Linked DNA regions of Drosophila melanogaster. Changing the gene in region 2 together with the main gene of any one other region gives a genetic interaction. Each region holds a gene or a part of one and is shown on either strand. Other genes may lie near its edges. The genes, in order: Marf, Pdha, SREBP and ND-42.

Region 1 (8,954 bases), 1.7 Mb from region 2:
ACATAAAATAACAGGATATGATAATACATACAATAAATAAATAAAAGTGGATGGTGGAAGGCTGGACTAGCGCTGGTTCCTTTGGTCAACGAACTCCTCCTCGGGCATCGCAGGCAAACCATCCTTGTATGTGACATTGCTGCGGTTCAATGGATCACCATTACGGCAGCGAACGCAGGGCCCCAGGAATCGTAGCATCCGACTGCCCAGTGTCGTCCTTTTACTCCTAAAGTGGTCATGCGCCTCCAAATGCGACATCGACATCGAGTGGACCAGCAGACGCGTCTGACTATCGTTGATGCTCTGATTATGAATGGTGTCATGGCTCTGATTGCGCCCCTGACTGATATTGAAGCCCATCACCTCGATGACTCGGTTGTTGCGCTTGTCAAAGTAGTACATGCCCTCATGCTGGCCCCATTGCCTGGGCGAGATGAGCTCCCCCTGTTGTTCCCACTGCCGCCTGGAGCTGGGTCGCTCCTCCTCGTGCGCCTCCACCTCGATGGCCGAGTCGTTGCTGCTCGGCTGGCTGGTTTCCGAGTTGTTGGGCGCCGGGGTTCTTCTGACCAAGGCCCTGGATGAGGTTTCCACACGATGTTCGCCTTGAATAGAAACCAACAAAAATCCATGTTAGTCAATCTTATTCGAAATAATCTACAGATCTAATAAAATAGCATTGCGATTGCTTACCACTACCGCTGCCATCAGCTTCGGTGCTAACGCTGCTAAAGTCCAAAGATTGTGGATGAATCGCGCGTTGGACCTGGACGGGATTCTGGGCCACTCGGGCAGAAGGCGCCACACTGAGCAGTGCCAACTCGATGGATCCTTTGCTGCTGTTGTAGGTCAGGTCGCCCAGGGGATGGGGTGTGACCAGGACGTTTCCGGAGGCGGGTATGGTGTCCACCAGGAAATCCGTTTGAGTGGCCTTGGCACTGGTCGCCGATCGAATGTGGTACATGAAGTGGTGCTGTGAGTTGTCCTGCTGGCGCCTAAGCTTCTGCTGGCATTCGCTTAGCTCGGTGCGCAGGGTCTCGAAATTGCACTTCATCTTCACAAAATCATCTGTCTTTCTGTCCAGTCGTTCCTGGACATACTCGTTGAAGCCCTGCAGACGCTTCGCTTCTACTCTCAATGAGTTGATCTTTTGCTGCAGGCTCTCGTTCTCGGCCAGCAATCGATCAAAGCTGCTGCTAGAGTTGTTTGAATTGGAATTGTAATTCGAATCGGAGTTGGAGTGAGTCTGGCAGTTTTTGTCCACCTTGAAGTCACCATCATGGACATACACCTGCTGCAATGTGGGCGTTAGACTCTCCGGCATAGAGTTCACTCGCTGGAATCCGGCGAACTTCACATTGCGTCTCTTTTGGTCCTGCGCCTGGATCTCCGCTATGTACTGGCCCACCTTGCTGGTCACGTGCTGGAAGCGGCGCTTCGTGTAGGCCGAATGGATGTCCTGGTAAGAGACCGCCTTGCTGGAGCGCCCGCTGCCCAATGGAGCCTTCTCGCAACCCAGTTTATGATCATCGCCTGGTTGAATAAGAAAGGATACATGTTAGCACTAGCTAATTGACTGTGCCCATTGAATGAAGTACCCATTATACATCGAGACATGGAAGTACCAAAATTATACATATATGAGATATGTTTGATGGGAATATTTCTCCCATTGTAGTTAAGCAAGTGTAGAGAGAGAGCGAACACTTCTTACCATCGACATCCTCATCATAGTCGTCCTCATCCTCCTGATCACGACCCACGGGATCGCTTACGCATGTCTTGGCGCTCTTGTTGGCCACATCCCCATCCGCATCAAAGTCTGGATCCGCGTAGCAGATCTCCAAAAATGGCGCTGTATCCCGCTCGAAGACTGCGGGCTTATGGTGCTCCGCGAACCAGGTATTCCTGGCGCCACTGCTACTCAAATTGTTCAGCTGGTCAAACAGCTCGTCCGTCGGAAAACTCTCGTCCTGTAGACTCATCGCTTTTTATGCGGAAATCCGAAAAGCGGGGGAAATAATACAATTAACACGAGACACAAAATTACACGCGGATTCCAATTGGAGCGGGAAAGGCGCCGTTACATTCTGGCTAACTGGAAACTGGCTAGTGTGACCATTTCCAATCAGTGAAAATCATTGTCAGGGTAAATTCTATTTTTAAATTAGACAAAATTTAAATTAGACAATAAAAATAAAAATAAGCTAGGTGGTAGTAATTGAAAAAAATTAATTTCAATTAAATATGGCAGCGAATTGAAAAAATACCATATTAAGCTTTCGACTGGCATAAAAATATACTAGACATGGGAAGGCATAAAAATGCACTAACGCCGGATGTCAGCGAACAACATGAGTTGGTCACCTTAACGTTACATCATGTGCATTTAAAAAAAATTAATAATATTAACTAAATTTCGTGAAATTGCTTCTCTGCAACTGGATTCTAGTCGGCAATGTACGGTTATTGGAAGTTCGAACCACGCTTTCCACAATTTGCCATTTGAAAACGCATCAGCTGAGGGGCAGCAATTAAAAGAATCGAACAACCGGAGAGGAAAATAAATACAAATATAAAATAAAACAAATACAAATATGAGCGAGAGTGGCATTAATCAGGTTAGTTGATAGAGCGAGAGGGCAGATTAAACTTTATCAACTCGATTTACGCACACAGATGTAAATTGTCAGAAAAAAGAAAAACCAAAAACATTAGATTATTATACTTTTTTCGCCTATATTTGTTTGCAGCGCAATTGGACCACGTGTGTGTGTGTGCGTGCAATTTGCGTTGCGGTATTTTCCTTTTCGCCAAATACAGTGCACTCTCGACATAGCGAACAACAAATCAATAGTTTATGTTCTCTCTAAGATATACTTAGCAAACACATGCTTGATTTTGTAGCGCACATTTTGTTTAACACTTAAACCACTCAAGTTGAGCTTATCTGGTGCGCACTGTATTCAATCGTTTTGTTTTTTCTTTCGTGTCATAATTTTTCATTTAATTTCGTTTCAGTTTTATGACGTTGATTTTTGAGCAAATACCCCCAAAAGCAATATAACACACAATAAACAGAGATAGTTAAGTTTTGAGTTTCGGGTTGGCGGCGAAGTTGCAGAAGTTGGAAGTCTGAACAACCAAATCCCCTGGGCTGCATACCTTTTGTTTTGTATCGCAATTCTCTTCTTCTACCAAAAAACCATCTGCTAAACCGAATCAACCATAAACCGGATCCCGAAATGGCGGCCTACTTGAACCGCACCATCTCGATGGTGACCGGGCAAACGGGCCCCGCCGACGACGACCGTCACGCCTCCTCCACGGACACGGTGGACAAATCCGGACCCGGTTCCCCGCTATCCCGGTTCAACTCATCGCTGCAACAATCCGGCTCCACAATGGCCGCCAATCTGCTACCGGAATCGCGGCTCTATCAATCCAACGACAAATCACCGCTCCAGATCTTTGTGCGCGCCAAAAAGAAGATCAACGATATCTACGGCGAGATCGAGGAGTATGTCCATGAGACGACCACCTTTATCAACGGTGAGTTATGTATTATATTTTTAAAATACCCAACAGAAGCCAATCCTTGAACCTCTATGTTGCATGGTATTCGATAAGAACGATTATGATTCAGTTCATCGTTTTACAAGGGAAATGGTGAAATTTTGATTCTTATCTAACATCTATTGCCTTTGGCGAAATACCCAGTTAAACCAATGTTCGTTGCTCTTTCAGCCCTGCACGCGGAAGCGGAGATCGTGGACAAGGCGGAACGGGAGCTGTTCGAAAGCTATGTGTACAAGGTGGCGGCCATTCGCGAAGTACTGCAGCGGGATCACATGAAGGTGGCCTTCTTTGGACGCACCTCCAACGGCAAGAGCTCGGTGATTAATGCCATGTTGCGCGAGAAGATCCTGCCCAGCGGCATTGGGCACACCACGAATTGCTTCTGCCAAGTGGAGGGCAGCAATGGCGGCGAGGCGTATCTTATGACAGAGGGCTCCGAGGAGAAGCTAAATGTGGTGGTAAGTGGGCTACTCAGCTCTCCTCTGGGAAATGTGTTTCGCCTAATGACCTAGTGACCCTTGTTTGCAGAACATCAAACAACTGGCGAATGCCTTGTGCCAGGAGAAGCTCTGCGAGAGCAGTTTGGTGCGCATCTTTTGGCCGAGGGAACGCTGCAGCCTGCTGCGCGACGATGTCGTCTTTGTGGACTCACCTGGTGTGGATGTGTCGGCCAATTTGGACGACTGGATCGATAACCATTGCCTGAACGCCGATGTCTTTGTGCTGGTCCTGAATGCCGAGTCAACGATGACGCGTGCGGAGAAGCAGTTCTTTCACACCGTCTCGCAGAAGCTAAGCAAGCCGAACATCTTCATCCTGAACAATCGCTGGGATGCGTCGGCCAACGAGCCCGAGTGCCAGGAATCGGTATGATCTTCTAGGCGGCCCCTTTAGTTAGTCCACAATCTCTGTCAGACCCTGCATTACCATTACATGGCAGGCGAACCATATGCCACATATGTGTACATATGTTCGTTTGCCAGCAGTTTTGCACTGCCACATCTCATAAGTAATTTCTTGGACCTCTTCGTATGCCTGTTGTCTCTCTATGTTGATGTGTGTCTTTTGTTTTTGTTTATTACCCAACCAACCAATCAATCTATCAAACAACCAACCAACTATCCACTGTAATCAACGCCAGGAATTGGCTAAGGTAATGAATGAGCTAGACCCGCTTGCTTGGTCCCACAAAAACCCAATCCACTCTGCTTTGGTCTCTTTATCGAATTGAACCGATGAACACCTCCTTGTTGACTCTTCCCAAAGCAGCTTACTTAGTTGCCCTGATTGATTGATCTATGCACTTTCTAAGACGCTTATTTCATCAATTGATAGGTTAAGTCTCAGCACACGGAACGCTGCATCGACTTCCTCACCAAGGAGCTAAAGGTGAGCAACGAGAAGGAGGCGGCCGAAAGGGTATTCTTCGTTTCCGCCAGGGAAACGCTGCAGGCGCGCATCGAGGAGGCCAAGGGCAATCCGCCGCACATGGGTGCCATTGCCGAGGGCTTTCAGATACGCTACTTCGAGTTCCAGGACTTCGAGCGCAAGTTCGAGGAGTGCATCTCGCAGAGTGCTGTGAAAACAAAGTTCCAGCAGCACAGTTCGCGCGGCAAGAGTGTTTCGGGTGACATGAAATCAATGTTGGACAACATTTACGAGCGGATCACCATATTCCGCAATCTGAAGCAGGACCAGAAGAACCTGCTCACCGAACGCATCCAGGGCACAGAGACGCAGATGATGCAGGTTACGCGGGAAATGAAGATGAAGATCCACAACATGGTCGAGGAGGTGGAGGAGAAGGTGTCAAAGGCGCTGAACGAGGAGATCTGGCGCCTGGGCGTACTCATTGACGAGTTCAATATGCCCTTCCATCCGGAGCGTTTGGTGCTGAACATCTACAAAAAGGAATTGAATGCCCATGTGGAGAGCGGCCTGGGCAGCAATCTGCGCGCCCGCCTATCCATGGCCCTGGCCATGAACGTCGAGTCCGCCCAGACGGAGATGACCGATCGCATGCACGCCCTGGTGCCCAACGAGCAGCTCCTGGCCACCAGCACCAAGATGGTGGTGCGCACGCAGCCCTTCGAGATGCTCTACTCACTGAATTGCCAGAACCTCTGCGCCGACTTCCAGGAGGATCTGGAGTTTAAGTTCAGCTGGGGCATTGCGGCGATGATCCAGCGCTTCACCGGCAAGGTGCGCGAGCGCAGCAAGAAGGGCCAGCCGGCGCTGGTCAATCGACAGAGCAGTATTGGAGTGAGTTTCTACAGTATAGTTGTGTTGCACCACCTTTACTATATCTCTGCCATCGAATCTCGTTCACAGCACAGCGTATCGACGCCGACCACGACGCCCGTGGAAGCCACTCCTGTGTGCCTGCTGCCCGCTCCCGTTGTGGCTGGCATTACGCCCGAGCAGCTGTCGTTGATCTCACGCTTCGCGGTGTCCTCCATTGGATCGCAGGGCACCGTTGGTGGTCTCGTCGTAGCCGGTGTCGTAAGTGTTAACGGTTAAATTATCATAACACCTCTTGTCCTTACCAACGACCAAGCAGGTGATAGTGCATAGCTATGTGATGAAATCAAACCACTTGCAGATGCTGAAAACTATCGGCTGGCGTGTCCTGGTGGGCGTGGGTGCCCTCTACGGCTGCATCTACCTGTACGAGCGCCTCTCGTGGACAAATTCAGCCAAGGAGCGAACGTTCAAGTCGCAGTACGTGCGCCATGCCACCAAGAAGCTCAAGATGATTGTCGACCTCACCTCGGCCAACTGCAGCCACCAAGTGCAGCAGTGAGTATTGATCCCTTAGCGTCTGAATCGCTGATCACTTATCGAATATTCTCTGTCACATCTCAACAGGGAATTGTCGAGCACCTTTGCCCGTTTGTGCCGCACGGTTGATACCGCCACCACGGACATGAATGATGAGCTCAAGACGCTGGACTCGCAGCTGAACATCCTGGAGGCGAACCAGAAGCAATTGAAGCTGCTTCGCAACAAGGCCAACTACATACAGAACGAGCTGGACATCTTCGAGCACAACTATATATCGCCGCAGTAGTGGAACAGTAGTGGGTTGGCTGACCGTGGGGCAAAACACTAACCAGAATGTGGATGATCATAGAAATCAGGCGAAGACAAACACCCAAACGACTACAACAACATTAATGCACCACGTATTTGCTGCTCAACTCTCAGTTTTTCTCTCCTCTTTTATTTTATTTTTTTTGTAAGAAAATGCATGATATGAGCCAATCGATTGGAACCTCTTTATTCTCTATCGTTTAAACAAATCGTTGTTGTTGTTGAGAATTCTTTTAATTCCTAACATGCACTACTCTGCTAGTGTGATTATTTAGTTTTCTTTTTTTTGTAATTGTTGACCCGGAAACGCACGCGTATATATATATACAAATAGAGAAGTATCCAAAACACTGTGAGCATGGCCAGGTGCCATGGAAAAGCAAGTTGCGAGGAATTATGAATGCCACATGATGATGACCGACCCCAGAATGCGAAAGTCACTCACTTATTTACCTCTTTTTCGCCCCTAATAGAAAGTCTAGTACTTATACATATTTGTTTTTGAGTTGGGACGCTAGAATAAATGTTGGGGCAAAGCAAACCAATATATATGAAAACACAATTGTTGAGATGTTGCAAAGCATGAGAATGAGAATGATTCATGAACGAAAACGAAACGAAATAAATGATATTTATGTAAGAAACTCATAATCGAAATTATTTCAGTGGAACTTTGAATATCGGAGCCGTGTCGCGAAAACGACAGAGACGGATGATGGACATTTTGGGAGCGGAATAAGGGACACCTGGTTTTTCCCACTGATTACCGGACAACGCATTTCGAATTGTCTTTTTTGTTTTAATCATATCGTTTTGATCGGGATCACACAATTGGGTTATTCTTAGTTATTCTTATTTCCTTCAAAGCATTACTAATACAAAATGTACAAAGTATATGATTTTTGTGTTTGTTCACAGAAATAAATATGTAGGTTTGGAATACAAAATAACAAAGTGAATCTCTATATACTTCTTGCTTCCATTAGCATCCGTTATCAGTAAATACAATACTTGGATATACAACTTAAAGAAATCAATTCACGTGTTCCCCTCTCTTTGGACTTGCCGGAAACTAATAACAAAGTTTTTTTTTAACTGTGCTCTTAAGAATTAGATATGTGTTTTTGCCATACAAAAAAAGAGACGAAAATTACAAGTTACAGGTGTGTGTGTGGTGTGTGTGGCTTGTGTTTGCTGTTCTGAGTGTTTGCTATGCTTGGGGTGCTCGTTGCGCACGTTTTGAGTTTAAGGCGTTGAGTTCATGGGTGGTCAAATGAAACGGATCAGTCAGTCGAAGGCTGCACTCCGCTCTGCTCTCCACAAGCGTATATGATTATTAGCCACGATGCCGGAACAGTGGGCGGATCGTATTGGATCGGTATGTGGTATGGTATGTGGTATAGTATTGCGTTGCATCACTTCACATCGCATCACATCAGAACGTTTTACAGGAAGTAGGGCGTTGTGTTCTGCTTGGGTATCACACGCTCCGCATCCGGAACAGCCAGGAAGATCTTCGTCTGCCGCTTCTCCGCCGTTTCGAAGCTAAGAATGGCGGCAACGTTGCCGCAGCGATAGCAATAGTTTGGCGCCGACCACACGGTCACCAGTTTGCCATCAAACATATACTTGATGCCCTCGTTGACCAGCTGATGTGCTCGGCATATGAGGTTCAGATTATTGATCGCCATAAAGTCCTTGGTCACATTGTGGCCAAACAGCCAGCCAGCGCCGCGCGGACTCTGGCCCCAGTACTCCATGTCCTCGGGATCGGACCACACCAGATCGCAGAAGGCACCCTTGTACGGTATCTCGCCGTTGCGATCGATCGTCCTGATCTGGTCCAGTGTAATGATCTCGGGACTCAGGCCACCGTGCACGCACAACACCTCCTCGTCGATGATCTGTGTACATTAGGGGCAGTGGGGTAAACATATATGTAAATGATTAAAAGGGTGTTGTCCACATGAAGTATCCCATAGTTCAACTCACGGCAGCGATGGTAAGCAAATCGAAGACCTTGCAGCAGTATTTCCAGCCATTGGCATTGCCGTACTTGCTGAAGCACTCGTCAAAGAATCCGTACACCTTGGTGATCTGCCGCGTTTCGTGGTTGCCGCGCAGCAGGGTGATCCGGCTGGGATAGCGCGCCTTCAGCGTGAGCAGTCTGGTGAATGTCTCCAGCGAGTAGTAGCCCCTGTCCACGAAGTCGCCCATGAATATGTAGTTGGTATGCGGCACCTGGCCTCCAGTGCGGAACAGCTGCTCCAGGTCGTAGAACTGCA
Region 2 (6,799 bases):
AAAAAAAAAAAAAACAATGGTATTCCATAACTTCGGTTTTTTAAATTGTCAAAAAAAAAAACGCAGTTTAAAATTGCATTTGTTAGGTTTTTCGTACCGAAAATGTTTTCTGAATATATTATATGATGAAATATTGCAAAATAACAATTTATCTTGCAATATAGCTATTATAAATGATTCAAACTATCGGATGACAGGTTAATAAGGTTGTCAAATTTTGTTGGATTGTTTGCAAAGGATATTACAAGTGATTGCTAATTTCTTTCTGTGTGCTTAAACAATGTATTATTCATTGCTTACGAGCAAACCAAATCGGTGCGTGTTTGGACATGGATTTTTCCCACCTCCCAACCAAGCCATCCCCCCGCCCCCTCTAAACCTTTATTTACTCCTTTGCCTGGATTTTGCCAAACAACGGCAAGCCAGCAAGAACATGAAACCATTGCAATAAAACCATAGCAGCAACAAATTACACGCAAATCAAATATTATGTGTATGTGTATATGTATTGTCCATCCACAGCAGCAAAGTATGCAACAAAAATTTTTGTAGAAACTGCAAGCAGTTTTTTTTTTTTTTTTTTTTTTTTTTTTATCGATGATGTTTTTATTATTTGATCAACGCACTGTTACCCATGCGGCAACTTAATTTGATCTGCTTAAATTATTTTATTTTACAATGTGTCTTGGTTACTTAAGACTAACAGATTTTTAATCCTAAAAAAGATAGGGAGAATTATAATAGTTGATATAACATAGTAATTATTATTTATTTGATTATTCTAATGAATTTTAAAACTAAGACTTTCTAGGTCAAAACCAGGTTAGGGAGGTCATGAGGGTGGTGTGCAAGCAGTAATAAAACAAAAAGGCGGAGAAAGTCGAAAGCAAAAGCAAAGACAAAATAAATAATTATCATCTTGTCGTTTATATAAGTGTGTGCTATGTGTTTCTCCGAATCGGATTTATGTTATATAAAACAGAAGAACAGTAACAATTTAAAGGCAAATTTCAAGGAATGAAAGCGAACAGTAATAAGAAACAAGGAAACCAAAAAGTAAATATATATATTCATGCAAGAAATACAAAATAAAGTAAACATTGGTGTAAATTAAGCAAGAACCTAAGTAAAACCTACTAAAAACAACCAAAAAAAATAAGAAGCTTAATACGTAATTTCCTGAAAACAACAGAAGACATATGCAGAAATCACACACATTTACCGTTACTTTTCACACACATACAGCACCTCTCTCTCTTTAGCTATTGCGTTTTAGATTATTGCTCAGCACGTTTTTGCGTAGACACAAAACTATTTATGCTAACGGTAAGATAGAACCTCCTCTCTCTCTCTCACCCACACACACACACACCTCCCCCACTTACACACACACAAGCACTCGCAAAAACAAGAAGACGAAGAGAAAAACTAAATTTTTTTCTTATAATCGGAATGCCGGATTTCTAACGGGAAAGGAAACAAAAACACAACAGGACTTCTAATAAGTGTTTATACATACAAATATATATATATATACATGTACATGTATACATATGAAACAAAACAAAAAACAAAGCAAAGCATAATTTTTTGTCATAATGCAAAATATTTGTGTGAGAAACCAATTTTTGATGTAACAGAAAAACGCGCGAAAAATTGAATATGTGTAACGGTAACAGAGCAAAAGATAGATAAAAGAAAGTAAAAAATTTATTTCATTCGCTTAGTTTTTCCCAAACGATCGATCCATTTCCTCATTTTCCGTTAGTAACTTTTAAACTCAAATCTTTTAGCTGCCATTTCTAAAGCAAAAAAAAAAAAATGAAACAACAAACCGAGAAACCAACAAATACAAAAACTAGTTTAAAATCTTAGTTTGTAAAGCGTTTATTTGAATTTAACTGTTTAATTCTACTTTACCTATTTCTATTTAACTGGTTTTTTGTGCAAGGAACAAACATTACTTAAGTTTTTGTAAGAGATTAGTGAATTATGTGAGCTGAGTGCGATATAGAGCAGTATTGCAATTGCAACTGCAATCGCAAATGTGGATTTATGGAGGCAATTTCAAGTAACAATACGAGTAAGAAATGAGAAAGCAAACAAAAACCAAATGAGATCTTCAATGTGAAATAAAAGTACTTCTTTGAAAACCCTCGTTTTATTTGGGCGGCAAAGTAATATAAAATGTGATTGAGTAAGTATTTATTCGAGTATTTCAATAACCGCCAAACACTACTATTATTTTGATATAACATTGTGTGACACATTATATAAAAGCTTATTGAATATTTTACGTAAACATTTATATTTCAAGTTATATTGAAAAAGAAAGTTCGATAAGCTAATTTAGTATTTTTTGAAAACAGGGAAAGCTGCAGTATTTTATTTAGGGTCACACTAATAGGCCAAGTGGTGCGTTATTTTTCGCTATAACGCCAAACGGTTGTTATAGTTGTGCAATATAGTAGTTGATAAACTAATCTCGCTACCTTTTTTTCCGATTGTTTAACTTACAACGACGCGCGGCGGTGCGACTGAGACACCAGATATATAGCGTGCGATTCTAGATCCGGACAATCCGCATATAGAAAGCCCCCATTCACATCCAATTTCTGTCAGTCGAACGAGAATAACACAGCGAAAATGTTGCGTACTCTGTCACGCGTTAGCGAATTGCCCATTATTGTTAAGCAACTGCAAAAAGTACGTAATCCCAATCCCGCTTTGCACCCACTAACATTTCTAATTGTTGTCACTAAAAATGCAATTGAACAAATCCATTCGATAATGAAAACACTAAAAGCGTTGCCATAACAACAACAACAACAACATCATCATCAGCGGATGTCGGATACTTAGCAACAACAACAACAACAGCAGCATCGATATCATCAGGAATGGGAGATATTCATCGTCGTTTTTCGGTTTATTCCAGAATGCAGCCCAAGCAGGTGTTTCGAAAACCAACAATTATGCCACGGAGGCCACCGTTCAAGTGAATCGGGTGCGTATTATAGCATTAAGTACTTGTAACTCAGGAAAATTCAAAAGTCGGAAGGGAAAAAATACGGTTACATAATGCGATTTTCGCCAGATAGCAAACGGTTTGCGTGTGTGTGTGTGTGTGTGTAAGTGCAGGGTTGCATTTTGCCGGTCAATCCGCTCATTTTCAAATGACAAGGTCACGCAGTAATTTGTAGTTTTCCGTCTCCCACGCTCTTTATCACCGTCTGCCTTTTGCGTGGCCGACGCGTGACTGTTCACGCACCATATAACATATAGTCTTATCAACGATCCGCCGATTTTCACCCTCTCTCTCTTTCTCTCCGTCTGTCTGTCTGGCTCTCTGTTTACGTCGATTCTCACGCCATAAATTAGCCGCCATAAATCCAAATTTGGTTTTTGGAGCATACTTCCGAAAATCCTCGATATGTGGTTATAGCTCTCTATAGATTAGTATACTTTGATTAGAGAAGCTTGAAGCCTATGGTTATTTGGTTTATCCAATCAAACTGCTATCATTTTATTACTTATCATGCGTTCCAAACGTTTCCGTTACGTTCTTATCAGATGTGTGTGTCAGTTGTTAATGTAAAAGTAGAAAACGTTTTTAAAATTAATGAAGTTTAGGGATCTAAATTCTAAATATGCTTTCCAACTTTGCAGCCCTTCAAGCTGCACCGCCTGGACGAAGGACCCGCCACGGAAGTGAAGCTGACCAAGGATCAGGCCCTCAAGTACTACACACAGATGCAGACGATCCGTCGGTTGGAGACGGCCGCCGGTAATCTGTACAAGGAGAAGATCATTCGCGGCTTCTGTCATCTGTATTCCGGCCAGGAGGCATGCGCCGTTGGCATGAAGGCGGCGATGCGGGATGTGGACAACATCATCTCGGCGTACCGTGTCCACGGATGGACCTACCTGATGGGCGTCTCACCCAGCGGCGTACTGGCTGAGCTCACCGGTGTCCAGGGTGGCTGTGCCCGCGGCAAGGGTGGCTCCATGCACATGTACGCACCGAACTTCTACGGAGGCAATGGCATCGTGGGTGCTCAAGTTCCTTTGGGTGCCGGCGTTGGCTTGGCCTGCAAGTACAAGGGCAATGGCGGCATGTGCCTGGCCCTCTACGGTGATGGTGCCGCCAATCAAGGACAGGTGTTCGAGGCTTACAACATGGCCTACCTGTGGAAACTGCCTGTGATCTTTGTCTGCGAGAACAACAACTACGGTGAGTGCTGTAGAAAGTGGAACAATGCTAAAAGATATTTACTTAAACCAAATGTTGTATAATTATACCCATTAGGAATGGGCACCAGTTCTGAGCGTGCTTCCTGCAACACTGATTACTATACCCGCGGCGACGCTCTGCCCGGAATCTGGGTGGACGGCATGGATGTGCTGGCCGTGCGCAGCGCCACCGAGTTCGCCATCAACTATGTGAACACTCACGGACCTTTGGTGATGGAGACGAACACGTACCGATACTCTGGACACTCCATGTCCGATCCGGGCACATCGTACCGCACACGCGAGGAGATCCAGGAGGTGCGCCAGAAGCGTGATCCCATCACCTCCTTCAAGGAGCTGTGCATCGAGCTGGGTCTGATTACCACCGATGAAGTTAAGGTGGGTTTGGCTTATAGGGTTTTATTTTTGTTATGAGTTATGATTGCTAAAAGAAAAAAACATCTTCCAGGCCATCGATCTGAAGGTACGCAAGGAGGTCGACGAGGCCACCGCCTTCGCCAAGTCCGATGCCGAGCTGGGCGTGAGCCACCTCTGGACGGACGTGTACTCCAACAATCTGGAGCCCAAGCTGCGCGGCACCATCGCCTACGATATTGATCACATCCAGGAGCGCAAGGGCGTCAATCACTAAGTCATCGGGCCAACGAATCTGATTCGGGAACTCACAAGAACCTTAAACGAAACAAGAAAACCGAACAGCAAACACAAATCACTGACAGACAGACAAGAAGACACAATAACTCAGAAACTTGGACACAAGCGAAATCTCTAGATCATAAGCCGAAAGTTGAACGATGAGAACCCCGTAGAACGGAACGGATCCGAAGAGACCCACAAAAAGCTTAGCTAATCGGAGCACTCCAACCACACATCGTAGCGCACCACATAACTCTGGGGTACTGCATTGGATATTATATTGCGAACGTGTTCAATAAGGATAAAGCGAGGTGTAAATTGTTGAAAATATAAAAATCTAGAAAAATTAATCCAAATTAGTTTTCTTAACAAAAGTGAATCAAGTATGTACTTTTGAAATGTGAAAATCTCAGTCTGTTTCACCTATACTTGCACTATAGAATTTTGATAGATTTATAAGATATTAATAAACGGAATAGATTTAATAGATAATTCGATTTGTGGAAGAATTACAGTTCGAATCAAAGTAGTATTTGAAAAGGAGCAGTTGTCAGCTCCATAAGCAATCCCAAAATCGTTATATTTCCTTCTCGTTCTGTTTAGTGACAGTTGCCATCTCTGTCGATTTGCTTATGATTTTACTGTCGATTTCTTTTCGGTTGAGTACAAATCCATTTTTCAACAATTTCCGATCATATTCAAAATTTTAGTGCGTGGCAATTGCCCATTTGGCTACAAGCTCATTTTAGTGCCCCGGTGTTTGGGAATTGGTATTCGGGCAAGGGCCAATGATGAAGTTCAGTTGTGTCCGCGTGGCGATGAGATGCAGTGGAGCCCACTCCATCCTCGAGAGAAATATGCTCTGCAGGATAATAGGGCGCCACAAATGTAGCTGTTTGACCCTGGAGAACGTAAGTGTTTTGATTATCACAAGAAGGTCAATGGATAAGTAAATACCATTGAAAAAAGCTATATCGTAAAAGTTATATTTTTCATTTTGAATTAAATTATGTACTCTGAAAAATGTTTAAATATTTGCTGTTAAGTATAGCTGATATAAATCTAACATAGAAACGACTTAATCTGCTCATCGCGTAGACCAACACTGAATATAGACATAAGCTGCTGATATTTTTCAGTGCTGCACAACACATAGATTCTTCTTGCGTTCCTACTAGAGCAGCATTCCGAAATGGGTTACTTTAATGATTTTGTTATGCCCGTTGCAGACGTTCAAGTGCTACGACCTGGAGAATGGACCCACAATGGACGTGGAGCTGTCCAGGGAGGACGCCCTGACGATGTACACGCAGATGCTGGAACTGCGCCGGTTCGAGACGGTGGCGGGCAACTACTATAAGGAGCGAAAAATCCGCGGCTTCTGCCATTTATATAACGGACAGGAGGCCGTCGCTGTTGGCATGAAGCAGCGTTTGAGGTCCTGCGACTCGGTCATAACGGCATACCGTTGTCATGCCTGGACCTATTTAATGGGTGTTTCCCTTTACGAAATAATGGCGGAATTGTTCGGAGTTCGAACTGGATGCAGCCGGGGCAAAGGTGGCTCTATGCACATGTACAGCGATAAGTTTTATGGCGGCAATGGTATCGTTGGTGCCCAAGTTCCGCTCGGCGCGGGAATTGGCCTCGCGCACAGTTATCGCAAGGACAACGGCGTGTCGGTGGTCCTTTATGGTGATGGTGCCGCCAATCAGGGCCAGATCTTTGAGTCCTTCAACATGGCCAAGCTGTGGTGCTTGCCCTGCATATTCGTTTGCGAGAACAATCACTACGGCATGGGCACCCACGTTAAGCGGGCCTCTGCCATGACGGAGTTCTACATGCGTGGCCAATATATCCCTGGTCTTTGGGTCGATGGCAATCAGGTGCTGGCCGTGCGTAGCGCCAC
Region 3 (9,002 bases), on a different chromosome or scaffold from region 2:
TATCAAACAATTTTAGTTTCGCTCAGTGTAGGATATCCGAAAGATATCCATCAAGATATATTATCAACACTTTTTTAAAATTTTTAAAACTAGGTTTAAATGGATTAAAAGATAAATAGTCAAATTATATTGAGCAGATACATTTTGGAAAAACATAGTCCTCATTTAAAAATTGCACGATAAAAGGTATAACTAAGTACTATACTAAGAAAAGTAGCGTTGACTGCCACACACTTAGCGGTTTTTGCTATCCGCCAAAGATTTGCTCCTCTCACTTGCCATCACTGATTTCCGTGCTCTCGGAGATGATATGAGAACAGTAATTGACGCTGCCGCTGCGGATCAACATGTGTGTGCTGTAAGAGAGCGGGAGAGCGAAATCAGTTCTCTCGTTCTCCCGCTCGCACACATTCATGCAATGGGCATCTGCAGCGAATTCTATTTTTAAACTTAAATTAATATTGTTCTTTATTTTATCAGCAGCGGCGCGAAAATAAAGCAGGCAGCGTCGGCGTTCGAAGGCGGCTGCTGTGAGGGAGAGGCAACGGGAGCGGCGGCGGAGAGCAGAAAACAAATAAATAACACGAGAAAAACTAGACGCTGCTACTGCTAATCAGGCAGAGAAAAGATATCACTGTCTCCTTCTGTCTCCATCCCTTTCCCACTCTATGCCGCTCTATCGGGTGTGCGAAAAGCGAAGCTCAAATGCTGTCGCAGTGCTAGTGCTCTGTCTCGCTTCGGCTCTCTCCATCTTCTTTGCCCGCTATCACCGCTTGATAAGAAATGCGTTAATCTTTATTAAGCGCTGCCGCTGCTAGTGTGTGCGTGTGTATTGGTGTGTATTCCGCTGAGCTCGTGCGTGTGTGCGTTTGCGGAGTATTTACATGGGAGTTTTTCATTTTCTGCTGACAATTTCCGTTGGAAACTTTTCGCCAAGGAGGTGCTAACACTAGCAAAACTGGCAAAGTCCAAACGGAAAATGTAATTTATGCAGAAAGCCGGAGAAACAGAAGCACAGAGAGTATGAGAACAGTCAGAAGAAGAAATAGAAAAATCGGACCAAATCTACAACAACAGCTTGTTGGATGACTCAATATTGCAGTGAAATAAAGGCTCTTTTGTATCAAGGAAAATAGGAAATGATTAATACAGGAATATTTCCAAGTTGCAAGACAGTTGGTAAATAACAGAGTCATAATCACAGCGTTCGGTAATATATTTAGTTTAACATTAGGTTAAACTAATTTTAGTTATTTTATATTTAGTTTAACATTAGGTTAAACTAATTTATTGAATAAATAAAGTCTGTATATTTGGATTTGAAGCATATCCATATATTACCGAGAATAATAAAATTATGCTGCATCATACATACAATCGGATTTATAAAGATTTTGATAAGCTAAGGTGAAGTAGAAATATAAAAAATAGGATTTAGTAGTGAAATAGTCCTCTTAAGATACTTTTCCTGATGACCGTTGGTTGAATGTTTTCAGTTTAATTTAAATAATAGGCATTTGATATAAATAAGCTTCGTCTATATTGAAAACAATACACCTACACTTAAGGCAACCAAATTTGCAGTTAGTATTTCCAATTGGCGACCGTAAAGGTAAACAAAAATGTAAACTGTTGCAGACAGCAAATGCGGTAAATCGCAAAAATCGTAAATAAATCCTAAGATTGTGCCAAAATAAAACCGTTTTAAAGGTTATTCATAGTAGCAAGTGCAAGTTTGTCGGTCGAAAATGGCAACCCTGGCGAGACAGAGCGAACAAGTGTGAGCAAGAGCATCAGAGAGAGGGCAGAGGAGATCAGTTGTTGTGATAATGCAACGGGTGAAGAAAACAAATGCAAAAAGTTTCTGCGTGTGAGCGCGAAAGTGCGTGAGCGGCGGTCCAAACAAAAACAAAAGCGCGAAGCAAAAATGGTTTTCTTTTTGTTTCAGTTTATGTTCCTATTGTTGTTGGTTGGTAGGTTTTTTTGCTTTTCCAACGACGTGACAAGTGCAAAGAGCGCCAAATTGTACATTTTTATGCATGGGCCGCCAGTGCATTGTGAAACTTTTCCGACTTTGCCTTTATGGCTGTGCATTTGTTTTATCACTGCAGCACTTTTGCCATTGCGATCGTGTGGGTGCCGCTACTTTGTGTGTGTGCATTTGTGTCTGCGTTTTCGAAAGAGCAATTCAGAACGCAATTAACACTGACGGCGCCCATGCTGGTTATCAATTAAATCACATATTCACTTTGTACCATTTTACTAAAAACGAATAAAGAACCTCATCATGTTGCTCTTTCCAAACGGTTATTTCGAATTTACCGCTTCTCTGGCTCCGCGATTCGTCCGCGTTTCCCGTTTTCCGTCGCGACTACCTACCCGATTTTGAATATGTGATGTAGCAGTGTGGCCAGTGCGTTGTGCCAATTTACCGGAACTTTTTGTCTTCAACATTCCTTGGTATTTTTAAGTAATTCTAGCGCGGTCACACGGCTCTGGCGCTCTCTTAATTATTCTCTTGAATGTAGGTAGCGGTGACATCCACCACGCTCAGCGAGGACAACCGCATATTTTAAATTACACTTATACATGTTGAATTTATTTCCTTACTCTGCGTGTCAGAATCAGCGTTGATATTTTATGGCAGTTTTATAAAATACATCATAAACTATTAAATATATATATTTCTATACAGGCATTGTAAGTAATACAGCTGTTTCTTGATGCCAGGGAGTCAAGACCTGAACCAGTTCCTTAGGCCCGAACTACTGCTCGTCATCCCTGAAGAACAAAGTTTACTGCAATCGAAAGCAATTGTTTATTAAGCTGCAAATATACTCGTGAAAAAAATCAAAACAACCATGAACAACAAGTGTTGCAACTATTACTAACTAGTCGCTAGTTTAAAGCAAAGTGCGTTGACATTAACCAGTTATGGAAAAACAAAAGCACACGTGAACTAAGAAAACAGATAGAAGGTGGTAAAGGTGCGTTTCTTTTTCTGCTAATAATGTAGATAGTGTCTAATAGATTAATTTTCGCGGAAATCAGATCGGGAAACCAGTGGAGCCTGGGAAAATGCCCTGTTGGAGCTCCCAAAGGCCAAGTGGCGTCACTAAAAACATCGTATGATCCGGTCGAGCCCTCTGATTGGTTGAAAGCGCTTACGCATGCTTTCCCGGTCGCGTATGTGTGTGTGCAGTGCACAGTGGGCCAAAAGCGAAGTAAAAGCTTAGACCGTTTAAAAATATTCGCCTCTATTGCAATTTGCATTAGTCTAGCAAAACTTGATATAGCCAAAATGATCTCAAGATATTATATTTTGTTCCTATTTTAACTACGAGCAAACAACAAACAAACAAAAACAAGTTAACACATATGCCATTTTCAGGTCCGACTGTGATTCACTTTAGGTTTGAGTACAATTAAAAGATTTATTTTAACTTTGTTACGTATATTACAAATTTAATTATAAAAACCCCTTTTAATCTGTTATTAAAGCTGCAAGTGGCCACTGTGGAAAAAGGGTAATTAAATGAATTAATGTGATTATAAACATATTAATATTTGTTTTTTCCGGCACCAACATACTTGTCCCACTGTTGTTATTGCGCCGCATAGAACTTTAATAAACAATCCTCAAATGTACAAACATACATACATAAATATGCACATACGTGGGCCCGCCAGTATTTAATTACGAACCGTTTTTGTCCCTTTCATCAGCAGCATTCGCAATGGACACGACACTGATGAACTTAATAGACGCTCCGCTGGACGAGTCCATGGATTTGTTCAAAGCGGAGGATGTCTTCGAACCGTTCGACGCCGACCTGCACTCGGACATGCTGGACATCATCCTCAACGACATGGACCTGGCGCCGACGCAGATGTACAACATGCTGCTGGACGAGCCTCGAACGCATACCCAGCAGACGCAGTCCGTGGATCAGCAGCCGCAATCCGTCGAGCAACAGCCGCACGTGAAAAGCGAGCACTCTTCGCCAGTGCACATCAAGGAGGAACTGCATCAGCAGCAACAACAGTCGCCGCTTCTCGTCTACAAACCAGATCCCCTCATAGCCACAAGCTACAATTGTCCCCAGCAACAGCCGACGGGCCTTTTGAAGGCCGCCCAACCAACAGCCACCATACATCACATGGACGCCCAGCGGATGCCGCCGAACACGGCGGTGTATCCCCCATCTCTGGGCAGTAGCTTTGTCTACCAGTCCATGTCCCCGCCCACGTCGCCGGTGGAGTCTGCGAACCAGAATGTCAATGTCATGCAGCCCGTTGCTGCAACTCCTGCTCCCGCTTCTGCTCCTTTGCCCCAGCAGTCGTATCCGCAACCCTTCATTACGTACAACTCTAAGGCCGGAATGACTTCCGATGAAGCCATGTACTTCCTCTTGCAGCCCACGGTAGCCAGTCCAACCCCATCTCCACCTGTGGCTCCACCACCGACAAGCACAGGTAGTCGGGCCAGCAAGGTGCGAGTGGCACCACTGGCTCCGTCACCTGCCGCTATGGAAGTCCAGGGCAAGGTACCTATCAACCGGGTTCAACCCAAGGTGAAGGAAGTAAAGCGCTCGGCCCACAACGCCATCGAGCGGCGCTATCGCACCTCAATCAACGACAAGATTAACGAGTTGAAGAACTTGGTAGTGGGAGAGCAGGCCAAGCTGAACAAGTCCGCAGTGTTGCGGAAATCCATAGACAAGATTCGGGATCTGCAACGCCAGAATCACGATCTGAAGGCAGAGTTGCAGCGCCTGCAGAGGGAGCTAATGGCACGCGACGGCTCCAAGGTGAAGGATTTACTTCAGCTGGGCACTCGGCCTGGTAGAGCATCCAAGAAGCGCCGCGAGAGCTCGCAGACCTTTACCACGGATGCCGGACTGACGCCGCCACGCAGCGATGAATCGGATCCTTCGCTCTCGCCCATGCACTCGGACATCTCGTTGCCGCCATCACCCTATGGTGGATCCACCGCCAGCTGTAGCAGTGGCAGCAGCAGCAGCAATGAAGAACCACTGGTGGTGCCCAGCTCTATGCGCGGCATGGCCACCCACTCTCGCCTCGGACTCTGCATGTTTATGTTCGCCATCCTGGCCGTCAATCCCTTCAAGACCTTTCTCCAGCGCGGCCACTATGACAGTAATGACGATCTTGGCGACATGAGCGGTCAAAGACGCATTCTCTCTTACGACGTGGAAGGTAGCTAGCCTAGCATCCAGATGTTGTTAAATATTGCTAATGGGTTTCTCCTTGATTTAGGTGAAGGTTTTGCTGTCTGGCAGCAGAGTTCCTGGATATGGCTATTGAACTTCACACTGATGCTTGGATGCTTGGTGAAATTGCTGGTTTACGGTGATCCGCAGCTGGACGCGCAAACGGACGCCTACTGCCAGCACAGGCAGCGGGCTGACTTCTATTTTAGCCAAGGACAGTCGTCTCAGGCCTACGCCGGTTACCTCAACTGTCTGCATATGTTTGGATTAAGTCTACCGGCGTCGCGCTTGGAGTGTTACTTGCAGACCACGTGGCAGTTCCTTCGTTTTCTTTTCCATCGCCTCTGGCTGGGTCGGGTGCTGTCACGGCGGTCCGGTGGGCTGTTTAGCAACGCCGCCAGCAGGAAACAGGCGCTGGCATCTGCACGCGAACTGGCCCTGCTCTTCAACCGACTGAATCAATTGCAACTGACTGGAAATGGAAGCCGCGGTGACATGAACGGCATTATGATGGCACTATTCGCAAGCAACATGGCTGAAGTGGCGCACAATCTACTGACACCGCGCGAGACCATCTGCATCCACGTAATGACAGCGTTGCGAATGAAGCGCAGTGCCCCAAAATGGTTGCAACAGCTCTTCGCCCGATACTACATGAGCCGGGCTCGTCAAGAGTGCGGTCTCACTAGGGCCACCGAGCAAACGCAGGAGCTACGTTGGGCATTCACAGCCTATGGATATCGCTACTGCGCCACGCACGTCTTCACGTACGATCTGAGCGACTCCGGCGAGCAGGATGGATTCTTCACACGTCTTAGGAATCCATGTGATCCCGCTGCCCACGTCATTAAGGTAAGTTGGACTGAATTTCTAGTGTATCGCACACAATTCAAAACTAATTGTTTCTTTTCCAATAATCAGCAATATCGAGAGCATTTGCTGTTTAAAGCCATTCAGTGTCTGGTAGGAGCGGGCCACAAATCGGGAGGCCTGCCCACATCTTCTGTCAGCGGAGAGGCGGAACAGTTGCAGCAACAGCAGCACAGCGGCACCATTGTCAGCAATGTTCTTAAGTACACGTCCCTCCTTAAGGACACTCTCTGGGCTGATGAGGATGAGCGGGATACAAACGTGGTGTGGTGGGCCGATGTTTTGGAGACCGCAGTGCACTGGCTCCTTGGTGAAGACACGCTGGCCGAGCAATTGTACGGCAGGATCAAGCAAATGCCCACGCAGCTGCAACAGTGCGGCGAAAACGATCATCTGCCCAAGGCGCTGCATGCTGTGCTGCGAGCTAAGATGATCTTACTAAAGTGAGTAAAACTAGAACAACTAATGAAAAGAACAAAACTAATCATCGCACACCTTTGCAGAAACAATGGCAACGCACTGGACAAAAGTCTCAAGCAATTGGTAAACATCCTCTGCGATGAGTCGAGTGTGGAGCTCCAAGAGTGCTTGACTGTCAACCGGATCACCGACGCCAAGGGTATAAAGCTGGTAAGAATGTGTGCACCCCGAACAATCAGTTTTTGGCGACTGAGTGCCACCAGACTCTTCCTCTGGAGATGACACGAAGGTGCATTGTAGTCGCATTGTCTGTCCCAATTGCTTCAGGCAATACAACTTCAGTGCAAGCTCTGTGCATTTCACATACAACGCCGAATGTCTCTGGCAAAAGTCGCCAAGTTTTAAGAGCGCACTAATCATTATTTCTTCTATGCAGCTTTTCCAGTTGCTTACCTGCGATTGGCTGCTCGAAACTAGGACTGCTCTGTGGGAACTGGAACACATGAATATGGAGGACGATGGCTTCTACCAAGTGCCAGGTGAAGTGCTCGAGAAGTTCCAGACCGATTTGAACTCGTTGCGCAACATTGTGGAGAATATACCGGTATATGCAAATCCTTACCCTTCCAATATGTCTGTTCCGTAACCTGAGCTTGTGTAAACTTTTGCCATTACAGAACGCCCAATCGCGCATATATTTGTACGAGGCAGTTTGTCGCCTGATGGCTGGAGCCTCACCGTGTCCAACGCAACAGCTCTTGGACAGGAGTCTGCGATCACGCAACGCCCACTCGTCCATCTTCTGCGGCAGCAAGGATCGGCGGCAGCAGAACTTCGTGGGCGGAGAGCGGGAACGGGCTTCGGCCATGTACGTGGCCTGCAAGTATCTCCCGCCTGCGCTGCTCAGCTCCCCGGGTGAACGTGCTGGCATGTTAGCCGAGGCGGCCAAGACCCTGGAGAAGGTGGGCGACAAGCGAAAGCTCAAGGAGTGCTACCAGCTGATGAAGTCGCTGGGCAACGGCATTGGCAGCGTGAAGGCTTAGGATAGTAGTGAAGTACATAATAAGTGGCACGAACGTGGTGTGGATTTTCAGCAAATGAATACCCGTTTGCTATTCAAAAGAATTACAAATGCCTAGGTCTTTATAATTACGCTATTCCTCTGTTTTCCACGCCCGGTTATGCTTAGATTGTAATTTTAAAATTATTTAATATGGACATTTTATTTGTTTATTATTTACCGTACTTGTTAAACGTATTTATAACAATAAATATTTTAACAGATTTACAAGGCCTTTTATTGGTTACCGGTGCATGCTCCTAATTTGTTAAATATGTACATAATTCATGGAAAACGTATTAGTAGCGTATGCAATCTTTTTCCTTATATAAAATGAAATATTCTTCCATTCGCGTCGGTCATTTTGCGTCGGCGGAGTTTTGTTAGTCGGGTGCATCACAGGGTGAGCTACCAAGCACTATATATATATATACAAAAACAGAATGTATATGTATAATAATAATACACACAGAAAATAATATAAATTCCTCAGGCACACTTCAAGGGAAAAAATCTGTGAAATGGAAAACTTGCTGGTAGAGTCATATTACTTTAGCACTGTGCTTAGTTTTTTTGGTATGTTGTCCTTTTGTTCAGCATGGACAACCTTTTAAAAAATATAGTTAGCTCAGCAGTTCTTCGCGGACTCGCATGCCACTTGTATTTTTTGGCACCCGGCGTTTGATTTTCGTCTGGAAACGGTTCATCCAATGCCATTAATAATCATGGACTGGCACAGATGGGCCAATCGTTCCGATCAAGATGTTTATGATTACAAAATAAAGGAGGATGAGTTCGAGGGGAAGGGAATCCCCTACAACGATTGGACTCTTAGACTGACTGTTGCCATCGAAAGGTCGCACTGTGAGGTGAGTCTTTTGCTAAAGTAAAACTAGTCAAAGATAGTATCACACTTAGAGTAGGTATCCCGCTGACAGTGATGACATGTGGCTCCATCAAAACTCACTTGCAAGTGTTTATCATTCCTGAACTTATCTGTGAACTGAAGGGTTTTTGGTAAATTTTGGTTGTTCCAAATAATTGTGTATCCATTAAATTATACCTTTTTCCGAGTATCCGGTGTCTTAATGAAATCGAGCGTTAGCAAAAGCCGGTCTTTCCGATCCGCTCCTGCATCAGCCACATTGTCCAAAAATTGATTTACATCCTCGATAGGCATCTTCCAATGTTTTCCCAATCTCAGATGATTTAGGTTATAGCAATTTTGTACTAGCAACATAAGTTGGCGACTTGGGTTTGCAGGTGAGTCAATGCAATCCAGGGCCAGGCACTCGAGATCTTTCAACTGGCCCAACTGGGACACCGATTGAGCTGGCCAGTTATCACAGTCCAGAGCGTTGAGTTGCCTAATCGCCAGGATGTGATGCACTTGGTCACCTCTAACGCGGACGGATATG
Region 4 (5,677 bases), on a different chromosome or scaffold from region 2:
GTAAGAGGCGGCAGCAAAGTGACATCATCATTCACCTCGAGTCGCGGCTGCTTTTCGGCCTTCTTCGCCAGTTCCTCCAGATTGGGATCCTGGGCAATCAGGATCTTTAGATCGCTGGGCACACCCTCCAAGCCGGCAAATTCCACCAGCGACTTTTGATCCTCGGACAGTAGACCAAGTCGCTTGGCCAAGTCACCTTTTCGCAGGTATTGAACGAACCTCATTCTGGCAGCTTGCATTTATGACTGATTTACGTCGAACGAATCTATCGCGGCTATCCAATTAACGCTCCAGTGGCCAAACTCGAATCTCACGTAATGAGGGCACCAGCAATCAGTTAAAGAATTTACACGCGCTTTTCAACACTGCCAGACATTAACCCCCTGAAGCCGCAGGTGTTAGAAAAGCATCATACATATAAACATACATATAATGTTATGGGTTGCATATCAACTTTTTATCAGAAAATGTATGTTAAAAAAGTTAAGAAACGTCTAAAGTTATATTCTATTTACTATACATTTTTTAAATTTGTAGTAATGATAAAAAAGTAGTAAACGTATTTTTATAATTTCGCAATCATTTTAAAGAGCATATAAATAAAATATAAAACTAAAGATTAAGAAAAAAAATTTTTACAGGCATTTTGAACAGATGAGAATTCTGCATATACATAAGTATATCAATAAAAAAAAACTTTAATTAATATATTCCTCCACAATGCTATCAACTCGTTACTGGATAATTCGAAATCCTTAAAAGGATTTAAGTAAAGAATAAAATAAAAAGCAAAACCACATTCGAATTTTGGTGTTCAGAAGTCAAGATTCAACATTTATTTAAAGAGAGGGCTCAACATCGTTTCGCTTCGCAGCGTCTTAAACGCATTTAACCAAACTCCCTCTTCCATCCATTCGATAACTTAAGCCGATTTTGTACCTATAGCGATCATCTAAATATGCATTCCATCTAGTCGCTACCAGCGGTCACTTTGCCGCCATCCGCGCTGCCAAACTTCTCAAACAGCTCGTACTTCCAGCGCATGTAAGCTACGCGCATTCTGTCCCAAACGTTGTCCACGGAGTCCATGGCTGGGCGCACATCCAGCAGGGCAAAGCGGTAGTCTTTGTCCACCAGTCCACCGTCGTAGTAGTCGATGACGTAGCGCACATCCTTGCCGCAGCGATCGACTATCCAGTCATGCCTATCGAATGGCAGCTCGTATCTGTAAGACAATTCGAACATTAATTCAGGTGAGATCTTCCGTCTGGAGTATACTCACCCCAGCCAGCTGCGGAATCGAGCGCGCGGACTGAAGTCCTTGGCCTTGCCACCGAAACTCTTGAGGCGCGGATTGCCGCATTCCTTGGCGTGAAGCGCCTCCCACTTAAGTACCTCCTGCCAGGCCTGCTCGTTGTTGGCATTGTGGATGCGTATGATGTCGCCCATGTCCTTTTGCGATACGTCCTCGGTCTTCCAGCGCCAGCCCTTGCGTAGCATGGCGTTCCAGAACATCTGTTGGCTGGGATACTGCCAGAATTGAACGCTGCCATCCTCGGTGACTTTGGGAATGGTCGACGTCTGGCGGTCGGTGGGCAGTGGAAAGGGCTGATCTGCCGCCGGCTGTTGGTTTGCCGGTGGCATCATATTCAGCGGATTAACGTCGCTGTTGTCGTGCTGCACCGGACATTCGGAAGCGGCCTGCATCTTGGGATGTGGGGGTACGGCGGAGGCCGATTTTGCATCTCCATGCTTCTGATGCATGGGGCATTCTGGTGGCGGGGCACCACTGCCGCTCATGTACTTGGCGTGGTCCACCGGCACACTCTTCGTGGCCTCCATTTGCACTCGGGTGATGGCTGTATTGCCCATTTCTGCTGGGGATTGGTTAATAACAAAATCTGTGTCACGAGGAAAATCGCATTAGTTCTCAGTTGCGTAACTGTAAGGAGTGGGTTACACTCCCAGTGCTGGGCCCCAACGCCAGGACTTACTCGATCCTAATGGTCACAACTCTCGATATTTGTCGATCTTCTCCTGGAGCCTTTCGCCTTAAATTTTGATTTATATTTTCGTTAGTTCATCGTTAGAACTTTTGAGCCCAAAATGCAGCGAGGTTGTGGTCAGGGCTGCCAGACCAACGGAAAGTGGACCAGTTGTTTCTGCACCGTGACAATATGTTAAGTTAAAAATTTAAAAAATCAACTCGCACCGCACGGCAATGTGAGTTTATGGTGTGTGTCTGTCTACAAATGAAAAGCATTGTTGAATTTATTTCAAGTAAATTAACTTGTAGTTAAACACCCCAGCTGTGCTGTGTAGTGTTGAGCAGTCGCTTTGCGATATTTTTAAAAAGTAAAACAAATACATTTATACATTAAAATGTTATTTTGTAAGTGTTATATAAAGTTTTTAAAATACTGGGTTAAATTTCATTTCATATGAAATTCTTTCTGATTCTGAGAAAAGTCGCAGTTAAAGCATAGACAAACATTTTGATTTTACATTTTTGATATTTGAACGGATACCTTGACAGCCCTATTCGGGGAGTTTTCCAACACCAACCATAGCCCGAAATTTGTTTTTGGGTAGACTTCCGATATTTAGATTGAAAAGTGAGTAAATACCACCGGATAGAGCATTAAAACCGACAATTTGGGTAAATCTATGGAGCGCCGCAATGCTGGCCAGCAGAATGCAACGAAAAGATCCGCATATCTGCAGTTCTAGGGCAGAGATTACCGCACTACCTGCGTAGCTCCTGTGATGTAACCACACGACAAATTGCCACTGGACGAGATATAATTGTTATTATCTTGTTTCGTTTTTGTACTGACCCTTGTTTTCCCTTCAGAATGACCGCCGTGTTCCGCGTAGGACTGGTGCGGCTCGTCAGCCGCGCCACACAGTCGCCCAATCTACTCCAGGCGCAGACGAATGCCCTGCCTGCTGCCTTCCAGCAGCGATGCAGCATCTCCGGCAAGACGATGCGAGGTGGACCACGGGTGCCCAAGGCCGCCCCCTATCCGTACAAGACGAAGAAGTACAGCGTGTTCAATGCTATTTTCGACAAGACCTCCAAGCGTTTTGACGAGAACTCCAAGGTGATCTGTGTGGAGGGACCCATCGCGGCCGGCAAGTCAAAGTTCGCCAAGGAACTGGCTGAGGAGCTGGACATGGAGTACTATCCGGCAGTTGATCTGGACCTAATCTACATCAATTCGTACGGCTATGACATGAGGAAGTTGGATCCTCAGTTGCCGCCCAGCTGCCGAAGCTACGATGTGCGCAACTTCTGCCTGGATCCCAGCCACGATCTGGCTGCCCAGTTCCAGATTCGCATGTACATGCTGCGCTATTCGCAGTACATTGATGCCCTGCAGCACGTCCTTAGCACCGGCCAGGGTGTTGTCCTCGAGCGCAGCCCCTACTCGGACTTTGTCTTCATGGAGGCCATGTTTCGGCAGGGTTATCTGTCACGCGGTGCGCGTTCCGTGTATAATGAGCTCCGACAGAACACCATCGGGGAGCTGCTGAAGCCGCATTTGGTTATCTACTTGGATCTGCCGGTCGATGCCGTGAAGAAGCAGATCAAGGCACGCAATGTGGACTACGAGGTGCAGTCAAAGGTGTTCAGCGATGCCTACTTGAGCGATTTGGAGCAGCTGTACAAGCAGCAGTACCTCAAGGACATCTCCACCCATGCCGAGCTGCTCATCTACGACTGGACAGCCGGCGGTGAGACTGAGGTTGTGGTGGAGGATATCGAACGCATCGACTTCAACCAGTTTGAGGCCGATATTCACAACAAGAAGATGCTCGACTGGCGTTTCCCGCTGGAGGCCGAGTGGTGCGAAGCCCGTATCAAGTACTGCCATGAGAAGCCCGATCTGATGAATTACTTCAATGTGCCGCGTTTCGATGTCCCGGAGCTGGTGCGCAGCGCTGACGACGGCAAAGTCTGGCGTGATGTCTGGTTCAATGTAAGTTCGGTGTTTCCATTTCCCTGTTCGATTTCTTTTCACATTAATTCTGCCCCTTTGCACACAGGCTCCCGGCATGAAGTACCGTCCTGGCTACAATGCAGACATGGGCGACGAGGGTCTCCTCACCAAGACGAAAATAGGCATCAACCAGGGCATCTAGAGGGTTTTTGCTATGCTTTCGAGTTGAAATCACCTGGCGAAATGTGTTAATTATCTAATAAACAGTCTAGTAAAATAATCAGAACCCAATTAGTTAAAAAGCGAATATGGTAAATATCGATTGTAAATACTTTTCATACAACAAAACTCGAACTATTGGGTTTATTTATACTTTTTTTTTAACATAAATTTCGAATTCAGCTTAATCATGAATACCCAAACATATTTCGATCCTCTCCAGTTTCATTGATCAACCAGAGATTAATTTTTTGAAATTTTAAGTTAATTTATGCATTATATTAGGGAATACTTTGTACACATTTAGCACTAAAACTTCAATTGCGCTATGGAACATTTGGGTATTCGTTCTGCCGCGGATACTTCTTAATCGCCGATCAATCGCTGTCGTAATCGTTCTTTCCAGCACCGCCGCCCACAGAGGTGAGCGGTCGCCGTGACTCCTCGTCGGAACCGTAGACAACATCCTCGTCGGAATCGTCGATCATGGAAATAGCCGGATTATCCTTGGTGACAGCCAGCTCCGCCTGGGCGAACCGTCCATCTGGCGAGTACACATACGCCATGGTGTACAGGTAAAAGTTAAGCAGTCCGTAGAAGCACATAAACTGCGCCGAACTGCGATAGGTGGTGTTAAGTGAGGCGACAAAGTTATCCTCCAGGATGCCGAAGCCAAAGCGACACGTCGTCACCGTGATGGATATGGACAGGACGAACAGCATGAGCAGCGTGAGAAACTTCAAGCGCATATCTGGCCAAATGGATTAAGCATTATAATAATAAGATCAGGCTTGGAGCACACTGCATTATGTCTCACCAAAGTACGGCATGGAGCGCAGCTCGGTGTACGCCCGCAGTAGCAACAGCACCAGATAGAGCACATACATGCAGCAGGCGATGTAGAAGAACATCTTGAAGCCCTAAGAATGGTTTGGTTTTCGTATCACATTTCATTAGTACGTATTATGTATACCCACATTGTAGTTTTTCGTATCCACAAAGTGACTGTATGTGGGATCCCTCAGCTCGTTGCATTTCTCCCACGTGGCCAAAACGATGGCGCACAGCCAAATGGGCAGGACGACGATCACCTTGACCAGGTAAAATCGCACGAAGCTGCGCTCGTTCTGTCGCAGTCCATGGTAGATGCACAGCCAAAACATGAGTAGAGCACAAAGGAACGTCGCTTGCAGAATGGCGTCCAGCATTCCAGGCAGCCAGGAGTTCATCAGGAATATCAGCGGGAAGAAGGGATCTGTGCGTAGAAGATCATTAGTCTATACGCGCTAACTAATCCGGGTGAAACACCTACTGTCGTACAAAAGGAGCAGGGGCAGGAGTACCGACAACCATCGCTGCTCAATGGACCAATCATAGATTGGATACTTGCGCAAGGTGTGGGCATACCAGCACTGAAAGCAGAAAGATAGTATTATTTCATATGTCTAGAGCCACATAACTTGGCTTATTAGCTGACAAAAACTTACTATGACAATGAAGGTGAACAGCAGAAA

What was found.
Region 1: of Pdha (region 2) and Marf, changing one suppresses a phenotype caused by changing the other (phenotypic suppression), as found in Drosophila melanogaster (one study listed by BioGRID).
Region 3: of Pdha (region 2) and SREBP, changing one suppresses a phenotype caused by changing the other (phenotypic suppression), as found in Drosophila melanogaster (one study listed by BioGRID).
Region 4: of Pdha (region 2) and ND-42, changing one suppresses a phenotype caused by changing the other (phenotypic suppression), as found in Drosophila melanogaster (one study listed by BioGRID).

The regions. Positions count from the first base shown.
Region 1 is NC_004354.4:6,363,615-6,372,568, forward strand, and holds Marf (mitochondrial assembly regulatory factor), read left to right. Parts: upstream 1-2,334; 5' UTR 2,335-2,618; intron 2,619-3,018; 5' UTR 3,019-3,242; coding exon 3,243-3,549; intron 3,550-3,744; coding exon 3,745-4,034; intron 4,035-4,104; coding exon 4,105-4,443; intron 4,444-4,717; coding exon 4,718-4,729; intron 4,730-4,911; coding exon 4,912-5,838; intron 5,839-5,907; coding exon 5,908-6,078; intron 6,079-6,178; coding exon 6,179-6,375; intron 6,376-6,444; coding exon 6,445-6,646; 3' UTR 6,647-7,310; downstream 7,311-8,954. Other genes in the region: swa (swallow), read right to left, coding at 67-602, 691-1,530, 1,712-1,982; PpV (protein phosphatase V), read right to left, coding at 8,115-8,573, 8,662-8,949. UniProt on the Drosophila melanogaster protein: Mitochondrial outer membrane GTPase that mediates mitochondrial clustering and fusion.
Region 2 is NC_004354.4:4,699,886-4,706,684, forward strand, and holds Pdha (pyruvate dehydrogenase E1 alpha subunit), read left to right. Parts: upstream 1-2,439; 5' UTR 2,440-2,646; coding exon 2,647-2,706; exon of another isoform or gene 2,707-2,806; coding exon 2,807-3,007; intron 3,008-3,669; coding exon 3,670-4,234; intron 4,235-4,309; coding exon 4,310-4,632; intron 4,633-4,702; coding exon 4,703-4,885; 3' UTR 4,886-5,380; downstream 5,381-6,799. Other genes in the region: CG7024 (uncharacterized protein), read left to right, coding at 5,679-5,801, 6,120-6,799.
Region 3 is NT_037436.4:19,791,173-19,800,174, forward strand, and holds SREBP (sterol regulatory element binding protein), read left to right. Parts: upstream 1-2,762; 5' UTR 2,763-2,987; intron 2,988-3,051; exon of another isoform or gene 3,052-3,153; intron 3,154-3,391; 5' UTR 3,392-3,527; intron 3,528-3,726; exon of another isoform or gene 3,727-3,729; 5' UTR 3,730-3,737; coding exon 3,738-5,220; intron 5,221-5,280; coding exon 5,281-6,086; intron 6,087-6,155; coding exon 6,156-6,547; intron 6,548-6,607; coding exon 6,608-6,734; intron 6,735-6,788; exon of another isoform or gene 6,789-6,887; intron 6,888-6,960; coding exon 6,961-7,128; intron 7,129-7,201; coding exon 7,202-7,567; 3' UTR 7,568-7,807; downstream 7,808-9,002. Other genes in the region: Ir76a (ionotropic receptor 76a), read left to right, coding at 8,106-8,160, 8,212-8,453; CG14102 (uncharacterized protein), read right to left, coding at 8,477-8,587, 8,648-9,002.
Region 4 is NT_033777.3:22,025,166-22,030,842, forward strand, and holds ND-42 (NADH dehydrogenase (ubiquinone) 42 kDa subunit), read left to right. Parts: upstream 1-2,543; 5' UTR 2,544-2,855; coding exon 2,856-3,983; intron 3,984-4,050; coding exon 4,051-4,146; 3' UTR 4,147-4,228; downstream 4,229-5,677. Other genes in the region: CG6028 (uncharacterized protein), read right to left, coding at 1-239; Cchl (cytochrome c heme lyase), read right to left, coding at 970-1,225, 1,283-1,872; CG13409 (uncharacterized protein), read right to left, coding at 4,541-4,914, 4,981-5,083, 5,141-5,418, 5,476-5,575, 5,651-5,677. UniProt on the Drosophila melanogaster protein: Accessory subunit of the mitochondrial membrane respiratory chain NADH dehydrogenase (Complex I), that is believed not to be involved in catalysis. Complex I functions in the transfer of electrons from NADH to the respiratory chain.